2 linked regions of the Anolis sagrei genome follow. The protein of the gene in region 2 purifies or fractionates together with the protein of the main gene of each other region. This does not show direct contact. Links are inferred from orthologs where the notes say so. Each region holds a gene or a part of one and is shown on either strand. Other genes may lie near its edges.

The links.
Region 1: the proteins of KBTBD8 (region 2) and PKN1 purify together in Homo sapiens (affinity purification with western blotting; 3 studies listed by BioGRID and IntAct, with this or other methods). This does not show direct contact. The link is inferred for Anolis sagrei from reciprocal best matches to the Homo sapiens genes KBTBD8 and PKN1.

Annotation. Positions count from the first base shown.
Region 1 is NC_090022.1:128,247,719-128,255,137, reverse strand, and holds the start of PKN1 (serine/threonine-protein kinase N1), read right to left. Parts: upstream 3,085-7,419; 5' UTR 3,025-3,084; coding exon 2,980-3,024; intron 1-2,979. UniProt on the Homo sapiens protein: PKC-related serine/threonine-protein kinase involved in various processes such as regulation of the intermediate filaments of the actin cytoskeleton, cell migration, tumor cell invasion and transcription regulation.
Region 2 is NC_090022.1:36,115,769-36,123,221, reverse strand, and holds the start of KBTBD8 (kelch repeat and BTB domain-containing protein 8), read right to left. Parts: upstream 3,066-7,453; 5' UTR 2,011-3,065; coding exon 1,760-2,010; intron 184-1,759; coding exon 1-183. UniProt on the Homo sapiens protein: Substrate-specific adapter of a BCR (BTB-CUL3-RBX1) E3 ubiquitin ligase complex that acts as a regulator of neural crest specification.

The sequences.
Region 1 (7,419 bases), about 92 Mb from region 2:
AAAGTTAAGGATGAAAGTGCAAAAGCAGATTTGCAGCTGAATATTAAGAGAAAACATTAAAAGAATGGCCAAAGATTATTTAAATAACTTTGAAGTGGGTGATGAAAACACTGAAAGTGTTAAGTATTTTTAATACCTTGGCTCAATCATTAATTGGAATGGAAACTGTAGTCAAGCAATCACACGAAGACTAGAACTTAGAATAGCAGTTATGACAGAATCTGACTAAAATCTCAGATGCAAAGATATATTATTTAACACCAAAATCAGGATAATCCATGCAATATAGTTTCTGATTTCTGTGTTTGGATGTGAAGGAAGGTCAGTGGAATAAGCTGGCAAAAAGATCTGTTCATCTGAAATATGATGTTGTATCTGTTTCTGAATCCTTCTTTCTTACCCCAAACCAAGCATGGCGCCAACATTTTGGACAAATGGGGAGTTCTCTTTGTGCCTAGGCCACAAAGTTACCAAGCATCCCACAACCTCTCTCCCTCCCCCTGCCACCCTTAGGGAACTGGATAATTCCTCCCACACCCATCCCCACTTCCACATCTTCTGCACAGGAAGGATGGCTGAGCACATGTCTAATTCACCAAGAGCTGAGCCACACACTTGAGATCAAACATTTTTGCTGAGTACTTCCTATATTCATTGCAAAACGGTGAAGTGTTTAAAATTAGTGTTTTAATGACACTGTTTTAAACAGTTCCCCCCTTTGACAATTTACATAAAATATATGAATTATGTTTATTTAAAATCAGTCAGCCTGGCCCACTTGGTAGACTTAGACAAACCATTATTATCTCAGCCACCAATGTGAGTTTCGATAAAATAATATTTACCTATCTTGTACAGACATTATAAGAATAATTCATAATATTTTAAAAACAATGTCAACACTATAAGGCACTATACAAATGCTGAATACTATTTAATGCTTTTAGACTGCCAGCCATTGCATGGATATGCCTTTTGGAAAAGATGGAGTGGGCAGAGAAAGACATTAATCCAGAAATGTGTTGATATACCAGGAATGTGGGAATGAACTATCGCTGTTTAAAGAAGTCAACTTATACCGTAGTTAGCATTAAGCACAGTTTGTGATGTAGTTGATTTAAACCAGGTGTAAGAGCTTTGGTTCTCCTACTCACAACCATATCAGAAAAAGACCAGGATATGTGAGCCTGAGATTTGCTGAAATTGTTTCCTGCCACAGTGGATGTGATGCTATGTCTGAATGTGGCCAAGATCTTTGGGCAATAATAGTGAGGCGGTGCTATATTTCATTTACAGCCCAGTGTGCTTTCAATATATATAACGAAGGCCACAGCCTAAACCTATCAGATCCTTGTTGAGACTTGAGTAGGTCTTTGTCCCAAGCTGAACCCAATGCAGGGGCTTCAGTTGTAAAGTGTGTATTAATAGCAACTACGAACAGAGTTCCTGCAAGGACAAACAAAATTAAGGATTTCAAAAGAGTCCTTTGAAAATTATGACTGCGGCATATATACCACCATACGCTTCACAGGCGTAACTTAAGCAAGATGACAGGCCTGTGCCCTAGGGTGCTCTCTTGTTTGGGGTCTCAAATGCCTCATAGTCAGTAACGCAGTGTCTCCTTTCCCCAACTCATATGACATGACATCCCTTCCTCCACAGACACATCATCTACTGTTCACACTGCTGATGCTTCCAGCATTTACAGAGAGGCACTGTTTTTGCAGATCCAGACAGCATGTTGCCCACATATGTTCCAGAAGTGCTCCTTCTTGTGCATTACATACTGTATGGGCAACATGCAACCACTGCAGAGGCCTCTTCCATGGGCTGTGTGGTTACCCATGCTTCTGCTGAATGTCTTGCCAGCATCATGCCACTTGGTGGACTCTATTAATTAAAGGGGAGGATGGCACATAATTAAAGGGGAGAGTAGCAAATGGAGAAATATTAATTATGTTAGTTTATTTATATCTTGTTTCTCACCCATCCCACTACTGGAACTTAGGGAGCTTGCAACAATTAAAATAGACATACATGTAAGCACATACCAATAAAAAAATGTAAGCCTTCAAAGTCTAATTAATCCAGGACAGTCAATATGGTTGAAGTCTGCATATTGGACTGATGGTTCTAGTCCAATATTACTGGATGACCAAGTCACACTTTCTCTGCCTAAGGCAGTGGTTCTCAACCTGTGGGTCCCCAGGTATTTTGGCCTACAACTCCCAGAAATCCTAGCCAGTTTATCAGCTGTTAGGATTTCTGGGAGTTGAAGGCCAAAACATCTGGAGACCCACAAGTTGAGAACCACTGGCCTAAGGAGAAGGCAATGGCATCTCCCTCTCTGCTGAACAAATCTCACCAAGAAAATGCCCTGATAGGTTTGCCTTAGTGTCACCATATGTCAGAAACAACTTGAAGGCACACAAAAGCAACAAATAATAAGACCATCAATGTAACAACAACAACAACAATCTTCATTTTTCCATGCTGGAACTGAAAAACGTGTGTGTTTATATGTGTGTGTGTAGTCCAACAAACTGTCCATTACCATTATCATTACCATGCTTATGCCTTGTAGGGAAAAACAGCTGCCTACCTTTGTTTACTGTTGCATATGCCTTGTAGTTTTTTTTCCTGATTGCTCTCTACAATGCCCAGGGGATTGTGAACAGGCATCTCCTATGTATACAGACAACTGCACATAAGGGTAAGTTGCAACATGTTGATAAGGCAACCCAATTCTAAAACCACAAATGGAATTAAATGCAAGCATCCAGATTTCACACATATTCCTCCAAATATAATTATCCATTTAGACTAGGATTCAGGCCCACTTTACAGCCGTATTGATTTATGATGTATCATAAGATTGTTTTCTGCACATTGCCCCCCCCCCCACCAACTGTTCAAGAGGGAGGGAGGGGCAGTTAATAGCACAGCCCTCTGCTATGAATCCCTTCCAAAAGGCAGTACCTCCAACTCATGCTCAGAATTTGTATCAGGCTCCGAGAAAGACATCCTGGCCCGTGGAGAGGCTCAGCAGCGATCGCCAGTCCCTTCTGCTCCCAACTGCGTGCCGGCTACACCCTCATTTCCTGCCTGTAGATTCAAACCGTTCTTTTGGCCTGTGTGCAAACAAACCACTTCCTTACAGAGTTCCTGCATTTGCTGGCAATACCGGAACCCAGGCTAACTGAAGGGAGCAACCACGGGGCCTATGTGCCCCCTGCTGACTTTCCAAACGCCATCCCTTCAACCTCCAGAGTGAATTTGAAAGGGGAAACCAAATCTAAACATTACAGAAGGGAAATACTTTTATTTGGACCAATCGAAACATAATAATATACTGTACAACTGTTGAGTCCACCAGAACTTCATTCAGCTGGAAGTAACACAAAAGAGTAACAGATAGTTGGGACATGATGATGAAGCTGCCATTTATAACACTTACATTGCAGAACCTAGGTTTTACAGAACACGTGTGTCAGATTTAATTGCATTAGACTGTACAAGAGGGGCGGGCTATTGCCAAAACTACTAAACATGCAAGCAAACAAAAAAAACTTTGTTCTGAAAAATTTGGGGTATTAAACAAGTATATGTGTGAGTGATTTCCGGAGAAGCAAAGAACCTTTTTGCCAGAAGAAGATCAGGAGTGCAAGATAGTTAAGAAGTGCTGAAATGGTGTGTGTGTGATATGTGAGCCGATGTGTACTCTACTGGATTGGATTCAGAGAGAATGAGCAAAGAATAATGTGTTAGAAGAAGAAATGTATTTTTCTCTTTACTAGTTATAAGACAGGAGAAAAGGAGTACTAGAAGATGGGTGCCTTAGACTCAGGCCAGCTGGCAGACTGTATCTTCCGTATGAGCCTGTCCAGGTCCTGAGATCCTGAAGTGAGCCTCTTCTTTTGACCCCCCCCCCCCTCACCTTCCTAAAATGGGCCCCTCCTGGCAGTCCTTTTGTTGGCAGGTAAATCCTCTTCTATTCTGGCAGGTGTTTGAAAATTAAAGGTTTCAAAAAGAAGGGCTTTTAAGAGGGCATTGTACTGTTTGAACCGTACTGCTGTTGCATTGCTTTTAACATTTTAATTGCATCTTTTCAATTGTTTTTAGTGTGGTTAATAGTTTTGTTTCACATTGTTGTTGTTTTTTAAGATTGTAGCTATGCTGTATTTGTTTTCATTTGTAAGCTGCCTTGAGTGCTGGTTTTGAGGAAAGTGTGGGGTAGAAACAAAAGTTGTGGTGATGGTGCTGATGATGATGGTAAGAAAAATGCCAACAATATGTGAAAGTGAGATCCTTACAATACTGGCCAGATAAAGTAAGAACAGGAGCATAGTTACAGTATAAGCAAAGGCTGATATTTAATATCCTGCAAGTAATGGAACTACAAAACGACATATATCTGCAGGACCACTTCTTGGGGTTTTGTCTGCCGCCAACAAAATATGCCCTCTCTAGGAATTTTCTAGATCCTCTAGGGCAGTGGTTCTCAACCTGTGGATCCCCAGATGTTTTTGCCTTCAACTCCCAGAAATCCTAACAGCTGGGGAACTGGCTATGTTCTCTGGAAGTTGTAGGCCAACACACCTGGGGACCCACAGGTTGAGAACCATTGCTCTAGGGTGTCTCCATGGTAAGTTCCATTGGCAATCATTAATTTTAATAGGGTTCAATCCACGGTTTCCTATTTAAATGGTAAATTTAGAAATGCAACCCCCTTGATGTGTCATATTGTAATTTATGCAGATGAAATGGCTACCAGTACTTTGTAACTTGCTTGAGCATTCAGATAAAGGCACTTAGTAAAAGATGAAAAACATTCTGAGAACAAAGGTATTGCAAAACAAGATACCTTTTTGGTCACTTACTTCTGTAGCTGACCATGCCTAACAATCTTTGAGGCTGTTGCCTTGTCTTAACAGACTGCCACTAAGGGCCCTTCTACACAGCACCTTAAACACGGCATTTACTGGGTTAAAAGGGGGTGGCTACATGAGACTACATGTAAATCAGCACCGATTCATTGCAACAGACTAAAAATACAGGTTAGAAAGGCCCTCTTTTATACCAATACTGGCCGGCAAATGCAGATATTCGCATTACTGTATATCCCTGCACTTGCGAAAAACACGTACTTTCTTTCTGTCTTCCCTGTTTCACATGTCCACTTTTAAAAAGCCCGAAACAGCTGATCAGTGCATTGAGCTGTGAAATGGATACACAGCTGCTATAAAGGAAGCATGAACTGAGAGCAATTAGAACCCTCTAAAACTCTTTATTTCAAACTTTGAAATGTTAAACAGAGCTTGAAAAAACAATTGGAGGAAGGGAGAAATCTGACAGAAGGGGTTTTGTTATGTGATAAACCTCATATACACACATACAAATCTGCTTATATTTATATTAAGATATTTGCACGGGCACATAATTGCATGTACGGTCCAGCGCATAATGGAGTAATTTTTTTAAAAAACCCTTCTGTCCCTCTCCATCTTGTTCTGATACAGAGGATGGCCGTGAAGAAGGCAGGGGAAACAGTACCAGGACTAACAGGTCTGTGTGGGAATCTGCAGTCAGGTTCTGGCATTTTTTAATTCCCATTTAAACCCGTATTTTTGTAATGTCTGGAAGCACCCTAATTCAACTCCTACAGAAGCCCATTGATAAGATAACACAGGTTTTTAGGGTACATTTTAAACAAAAAATAGCTTGATGCTTAGTCACATATATACATTAATCCAATTCTGCAGAAGCAGTACAGAATGACTTCTTCTTCTTCTTTGTAACTAAGTCATTAGGAACTTCCCCTGTAAGTTTTCAATTTCCAACATAGAAGCTCCTAGCTCAGTTTTGAGCAAGGATAAAGTTTAGTTCAATACATTGATTCTTGATGGGTAATCTCACAATAGAATAACAACCCCCAAACAACATTGTAAAAAGATGGGTTCACATTTAAAATTGTATGGCTTTTTAAAAGGCCACTGTTAAGGACTATTCAGTAGAAAAAGACAAAGCATGGGCCTACATAAAATACCAATTCCTCATCTGCATCCCAGATGTAGCTGCACCTCTTGCCCAAGTAAAAATACACCTAGATTTGGGATCTTGAGGAAGACCATGCATCATTCAAAATATTCTACTAGCAAATGGGCTTTGATAGTGGTGGGGATGGTGACAAAATAGAAGGATGGGAACTACCACATATACTTTTTAATTAAATAGACACGTATGAGATGTCCTCCTACAGTGTCAGGAAAAAAAACACAGGCTCATTTCCTCTCTGAAGTGCCTTTCCATATCCCAAAGGGACTGATGAGAGACTCTAATATGTTATCCTCCACCTGTGCTCTTATTTGGAAGGAAATAAACCCTGTGCAGGCCCTTGAATGTGGCACAACTCCCTGGTGAAAATCGTCCCCCAACAGTGGTAAATACAGCACAGACAGAGAGCAGCTGGAGGAATGGATCTTTAATGTGGCATTGATCCAGAGCCCCAATCCAGTTCAGGAGTCCATTCCAGATTGGGGCCCTATGTCACTGCTTTAAAAAATCACACTCACTTTAAGCATGTTTTAATAAAAACAATTAATTATACTACAAAGTGAATATAGAATTTACAGCTATCTTGGTCGCAGTGGCAGAAAAACTGCTGAAGTCATGTGACACCATTAAGTAAAAGGAAAGCTCTGGATTACTGTCACAAAGGTAAAGCAGAGATACCTTTCTGAGGTGCATCCCAATAGGCCACGTTTAAATATCCTATGGAAATATGGCAGGGAATAAAAGGAACTACCGGTATGGCTCTTTCAGCTCAGCCTTGTTGCAGTCTGATGTGTACATGTCCTGCTACCTCACTCAACTCTGCCTGGAATCAGTCCAGGTCACAGTCTCAACAGCCTCAGTACTTGCTCTGGACACCTCTTGATGCAATGCAGGAAACGGAGCGGTTGCTGACTCACGCCACTTCCTTCAGCACTGCCCCTAACATAATACTGCAGAGCTTACGACCACACAGAGACCAGAAAAAGCGGGGATCTATTTTGCTGTTGCTGCAGATGCACATTTGAAGACGACACTATGCAGCAGAAAACTAAAGCTTTGGTCCACTCTGCCTTGTGCTTTTTTCATATGCCTTGGACTTAAAAGAAAAGCTATGTGTCTGGGACAGTCACTGAATCCCTGCCTGAAGGTCGAGATGATGTATACAAGGGAAGTTGAACACATGCTCTCCACTGCCCATTTTTCACACTACTACTTGTTGATTTTCAAAATTATTACACTATGTAACATGATTTTTGCTCCTCAGTTATAAATGTCATTTCCTAATTGGTTCTATCATAAAAACATGGGAAAAGCTTTTAGTTTTTCAATGAATATCTCACTGAGTCTCAAGCAATTCAACATAGT
Region 2 (7,453 bases):
TCTTGGATAGAAGGAATCTGGAAGATACTAGCTGCAGTGAACAAAGCTTGGACATTGGCCTCTGTCAGTGTTACTCTGGAGGTATATGCATAGTTCAGTACTAAATGCATGGACTCTGCTTCAACACCAACTATCCGAACTTCCTTCTGGGTACTCTCAGTAAGGCCACTAGTGAACATTGATCTACAAAAAGAAGATGTACGCAGTCACTTATAAAGTTTTGTTAATAAGTCAACATTAAGCCTAAACGTTTTATCAGTAGGTTGTGCTGAAACAAGGCTCATTTTTGAAATCCTTTTACAGTCAGCCCTGTACATCTGTTGGGGTTAGGGAAATAAGATCCACACAAAAGTGAAAAACGGCAAATAAAGAAATTCCATTACCTTTTACCTGAGTGAACACCTCTCTACAAATGTCTAGGGCTTCCAGCACAATTCTAGGGTCAATTTCCTCTGGAAGCTGACAATAGCAATGCACTGGAGAAACCAGAGATTACTAGAGAGGTGCTCTCCCTAGAAATCTCTAGATCCTCCAACATGACTGAAGGAAAGTGACTACAGAGTCATATTGGGAGACCAGAGATTCCTAGAGAGAGCGTTTATAACCAAAGCCATGTATATTCAAATCCACAAATGTGGAGGGAATTAATGTGCTGCCATTGCAGTCAATGTTATTCAGACAATTTAAAGTAATTGTAATTTTGTTCACCCATCCCGCAATGAGCTTTTACTATAATCATCAATAGCAGATGACTGTCACGCTAATTTGCACATATATTACCTACTACTTAGGATATAGATTGCAACATGTAAGGTGAGTTTGCTAACCACCTGAGAGAAATTGCCTGCTTATGATGAGCTGCCTACATGGCTACATGGCACGCTAATTAGTTTGTGGCTATGTTTACCTGCACAATGTGGCAACCTAACATCAGATAGCTAAGAAAGTTCATCAAGCTGAATATATGCCAAAATCAAACACATAAGAGCATATCTATACTAGCAAGCAGGTGTAGCTCAATGAGTGATATACAAAATGGTACATGAGAGTAGAATTAATTCACAGCATATCTGCCCAGGTTTTTACAATGACCAGTTGGATGAGCTCTGATGCAATGAGAGTAACTCACAATACTTGAAAGAACCTTCCTTTTTGCAATTTTCTTCCCACTGAAAATAAGCCTATTTTTTTAATCTTTGGAGTAAGTAAGAATAAATTGTTGAAAAAGGAACTAATACTCTGGAAAAAAAACACCTTGAAGAAAGAGCTAGCAATTGTAATTAAACTGTATACAGACTGTCCCTGGTAAGCCAATGTTTGAAACAGCACATTAATCAGCACAAATAACAGGACGAGATCGTGATAAAGAGCAGACTTAACCATCTACATACTCCCCAGGATCTCAAAAGCTTAGAACAAGAAAGGACTCTTCTCCATATCTTACTACAAACAGCAAATGTAAGTGCAGTATAACCAATTCTTCCAGGGAAAAAGAAATGGGATTTGTTGTTGCTTAGGATTTGCACTGCTACAAATCCTAAGCAACAACATGACACAGTATGAGAACCTGATGTCTCATACTGCGATCAATGAAGCAAACCGATAAAGATGGTAACTATGGCTGTCCAACTTTGAATATAAAGTGGAAATATTATCCTGTTTACTTCAGAATCTGTGGCTGATGTGTGGAACCTATAATACCAACTATTATAAAATGCATTTTATCAAAGTAATGGTCTAGTTATGGATTGCAATATACCTGAAATAAGGACTGATTGCAGCAAGAACGTTCCGATGACAGGAAAAGGTTTTCCCATGATCCACTTGCACAACAATATCTATTAGCTGCCCTTCATCATACATAGTTTTGAGCTGCTGGAGAATGCTGCAAGCATGGGAAGGATCCATTCCACCACTGGCTGGGGGGCTTGAGGAAGGAGTTACGTTCAATGTTTGTGAAAACTTGCTTTGTTCTGGTGAAATAAATGAAATAAACTTAGCATGCAACATAAGGAAAAGTTACAGTTGACAAATGGATCAAGAAGAAAGTCATATTTCACAGGTTGTAACCACTGGAAGCCATTCTTGATTACAGAGGGATCGTAAAATATGCCAGCTGATATTAAGATTTCTTCCCAGGGTTTCCCACAGACTACATGACATACTAGCCTGAAGCAGATTCACCTTATATCTTTTTTCATCAATCTACTTGAGGCAAATGCCTACACAGAAACTAAGACCCAAAAATAAAATATTACACTGAAAAAAAAATCAGCTATTGGTCATGGAAACAAAGATTAAATACCATAGGCTAAATCTAATGTTAGACCCACTGAAATCAGTGGGATGTATTTGAGTGGTTGACTAACAAGGGCTAGCTATTTCAATGGGCTAACTCTATCTGGAATTAAGATTGATTTTGGCCTCTTACCCTATCCTGGAATTGCTTTGCTCTACACTTAGACGTTAATCAAGTGTTGCTATTTCTCCAAGTTCCAACAATACCAAATATGATGATAACCCATCATATAAACCACTGCTTACGTTAACTAATTTGCTACTAAAGCCATAACCCCAAACAGACAACACAACCATGGCTTGTCTTTTCCAGGTCTCATTTGTTTGTCTCATAACAACTGTCAACTCCTGTTTATGTGATGGGAAATATGGAAACAGCTACGGTCAAGTCCTGGCTGTGGATCTGGATACAACAAGTCATCATTTGCTGTTGTGTGCCATGTCCAGAGCTTGGTTTATGGCTGATTGATTACAAACAGTGGCAGGTTTGCAAATGGAACAAGCTGGATTTTAGCAAATGACACCAAGGCGTTGTAACAGGGCAATCTCTACAAGAGCAGCATGCTCCCCGGCATGCTACTAATTAAAGAAAGGGAGAGAAAAAAGATAGGGGTAGGATGCAGACAAGAAAGAGGGTAATTCTGAACCATACAGAGTAGCCAGTAGTGGGTCACCTTCACTGCACAACTACCAAATTCAGTATAAGTCAACCCCATTTTGAGGACAGATTTGGTGGCCAGAATTATGGATTTTGCTACAATATACACATTTACCTGTTGATAAATTGACCCAGATTTTGGGGTTGATTTTTTGAGTAAAATTTTGAGTATATAGGGCACATTACAATAGCTCAGCTCAAAGACAGTTCAGATAATTCCTCATCATCCTGTCACTGAAAATAAATTAAAACATTTAGTTACAAGTTTGGAAGCAATTTAAAAATAACTATTCTCATATCTTAAATACCAAGCAACAGTAGATGAATTTTCACATGCTTTGACATAAGTACCCTAGTTTCAAAATTAACACCTTATTCACATTTTATATTCATGTTTTGAACTTTACTCAATTGCCTACTATGAGAAGCCAATCTGTATTGAGCAAGAAGATTTGCTGTTCAACCTTCTGTACACCACAAGCTAGCAACCAAAGCTGGTAAAACTTTACAAGGCCTGCTTAGTATTTCACCTTTTATCATCATAGCAGAAATATGCTAATTTATGTAATCAAATGACAAAAAACAACACATAGGGGTACATCATGTACTCCAGCTGTCATGATTTGTGACAGGATTGAAAATATCCCTGACATAATTACATTCCATCCAATTGTCTTAGAAATTATGTCTCAGCTATTAACACAGAATGAGAAAAAAAAACTAAGTCTAAATAGTTTGCAAGGAGTTCCTGGTAAAATGATAACTAGAAGCCCTTGAAATATAAAGCTTGCCTTGTTAAAGCAAGCAAACAAGCAGCATTTCCAGAAGTGGGACAATGAGGTGTCTGAAAGCGCTAGAAATCAGGTAACTGAGCAAGCTGGAAAAACACCTTAACTGGATCCTAACTGGGAAAACTCCTGCTTCAACCATACTGCCTGTGAATTCTTTATAAACCTACTCTAGTCATCCACTCAAACGTTTCTATCTTTTAATGCTGGAAATTGACAGGACCTTTGAGACTGAGGGGACATGTACACTATATAATGCAGTTTGACACCACTTAACTGCCATAACTCAATCCTATGGAAACCTAGGAGCTTTAGTTTTACAAGGACTTTAACTTTCTCTGACAAAATGGGCAAGTGCCTCACCAAACTTCAACTTCCATGGGTCCTTAGCATTAAACCACGAGGCAACAACATTGAGATATGGCAGTTAAAGGGGTGCAAAACTGCATTAATTCTACAATGTAGTTGCCCCCGGAGATTTAAAAAAAGTTGTTAGCACCCCTTTCTTACATAAATAGTTATTTTGGGGTTGAATACATCTATGGCAGGAACTCTCATTCTAGTCTCCTTGTTTTTTTCCTTAATAACACAAAGGGGAAGACCCCAATGTCAACATATATGAGAAACAAAAATGGAGAAAGAACTTGTTCCTGTTTAGCAAAAATGTTCAGTCTTGCACACATTTGAATTTAATCCATTGAGGATACAATTTTACACAAGCTCAGCACAAGAAAACATCACCAAATGTAAAACTGTAGATAAGACTTGTATGGCAAAAATTTGTTAATTGAATGGCTGTATGAACTAAAATTAAAAAAAAATTGAAACATAACCCCATATGCGTTTACTCAGAAACAAGTTCCTGTAGCTCCATATTATTCCTCTATCAATGTTTTTAGGATTATTGTCTTATTCCTGAGCAAATCTATTAAGGAACAATAAAATATGCTTATCTTAGGAACAGATGTATTAACACAAAAATGATCAAACATTCATATGCAGGCCTAAATCCTCTTTTAGTCCAAACTAAGTAGACACAATGAATCCGTTAAATGTATCTCTGTGTTGACTCAAAATTTAACAATTGAATGAATGGGCTGTTTTGAGTCCCCTTTGGGGGAGATAAAGCAGGATATAAATAAATAAATTAAAAAAATCAATATAATAATAATGATGATGATGATGATGATAATGGGTCTGCTCTAGTTGAGACTACCAACAGGATGAAAGCCGTAGCGAGTCAATAAACCAAATCACAACCTGTCAACCTGTACTGGGGAGTAACTTTTTAAAAGAGTTAATCATCTCCAAAAACAGTAATTTAACAAATGCTAAAATATCAATAGGCCCCTCAATCCATGGGTTTTAACTCAATTAATACAAACCACCAATAAGCCCAATTGAACCTGTCAACATATACAGGGGGAAGAGAGGAGTTGCATTGCATTTCCCCCCTCTCCCTAGGATACATATATCCTTAAAAGGATTTAAAGATTCAAATGGTAGAGAGGTAGCTTGAAATTAAAACGTAAACTTTTGAGAGAGGTTTACAATTATGTGATCAACAAAGCATGCTGTGCATTACTAAGCAGAGGCGACAATTTGAACAATAGCAACTGAAGATATACTCTGAAATCCAGATTAAATCAGAAGTATAACATTTATTCTTGAAAATAAATGCATTTACTTAGCCTTTAAATAATCACCATAGCTACTATTAACTATTAAAGGGTATGTATATGTGTGTATGCATACACAATATATATATACACATACATATAAAAATAGACACACAAATATATACAAATATACACACATATATGCAAATATATATATATATATATACACACATGTATACACACATATATACATACACACATATAGGATACAAATATATACATATCTACACACATATCTATATGCATAGATACATATATAAAATTTATACATGCATATCTACACAAATACGAGTGCATATATAAATACACACATAGTATACAAATATATATATATATATGCACACATATCTTTATGCATAAACAGATATATATATATATATACACATGTCTGCTGCTCGCACATATATTAACACACATAGACAAAAACCTGTATAAATATATATACACACATCTATGTATAAGCATACACACATCTATGTATGTATAAGCATACACACATCTATAAATATATACATTTACAAATATTTATAGACATATGAACATGAATATAAATTCACAAATATATACATATATCTAAAATACATGTACACACATATCTATTTATCACACACATCTATACTCACATATATAAATACATATATTTACATACACACATCTCTCTATACATACACACATATAAATATCTATAAATACATATATGTCTACACATACACATATACTCTCCCACACATATATGAGATATATAAATATATATATTTACATACATACCTCTACACACACCCAAATATATACATAAATAAACATGTCTACACAAACATACACATATACTCACACACATGTTTATACACACTCATTCATATATATATATATATATATATATATATATACACACACACACACACATATATATACATATATTTGCATACACACATATCTGTAGAGCAGAGGTTCTCAAACTAAGGCCCAGGGTCCGAATGTGGCCCTCCAAGGTCATTTACCCGGCCCTCTCTCAGGTTCAACCTAAGTCTGAAACTACTTGAAAGCACACAACAACAACAACAACAACAATGCTATCTCATCAGGCAAAAGCAGGCCAACGCTTCCCATTGTAATACTAATAAGTTTATATTTGTTAAAATTGTTCTTCATTTTAATTATTGTATTGTTTTCAGCAGGTTTTTTTGCACTACAAACAAGATATGTGCAGTGTGCATAGGAAATGATTCATATCTTTTTCAAATTATAATCCGGCCCTCCAACAGTTTGAGGACTGTGAAGTGGCCCTCTGTTTAAAAAGTTTGAGGACCCCTGCTGTAGTGTTCCCTCACTTATCATGGGGGTTCTGTTCCAGGACCACTCACAATAAATGAAAGTCCGTGAAGTAGGGACACCATATTAATTTTAATATTTATATATTATTTTATATATTTTATATATTATTTTCTTACCCGTGCTTCCTTACCCACCTCCTGGCCCAACCCAAGGGCACTTGCCTGCCTCCTTGGCCTCCGCAGAGCCTCCGGAGCTATGCAGGCAGCAGCAGGCCAGGGAGGCAGGCCTTCCCCGCCGCGCCTCAGGCCTCTGCACTTCCGGGGTCTGTGGAGGCCAGGGAGGCAGGCCTTCCCCACCACTCCTCAGGCCGCCACACTTCCAGGGTATGTGGAGGTCAGGTAGGCAGTCCTTCCCCGCCACGCCTCAGGCCGCCACATTTCCAGGGTATGTGGAGGTCAGGTAGGCAGTCCTTCCCCGCCGCACCTCAGGCCTCTGCACTTCCGGGGTCCCTGGCCTCCACTGAACATAAATATTTAATATTTTTATTAATATTTTCAAAACCCCGCGAAAGAGCGAGTCTGCTAAAAGCGAACCGCAAAGTAGCGAGGGAACACTGTGTATACGCACATATACATATCTATAAATACGCATGTCTACAGAAACATACACATATACTCACACACGTACGTTTATACACACACATAAATGTAAATACATATATTTACACCCACAATTCCATCGTAGGTGGAGTTCAGAAT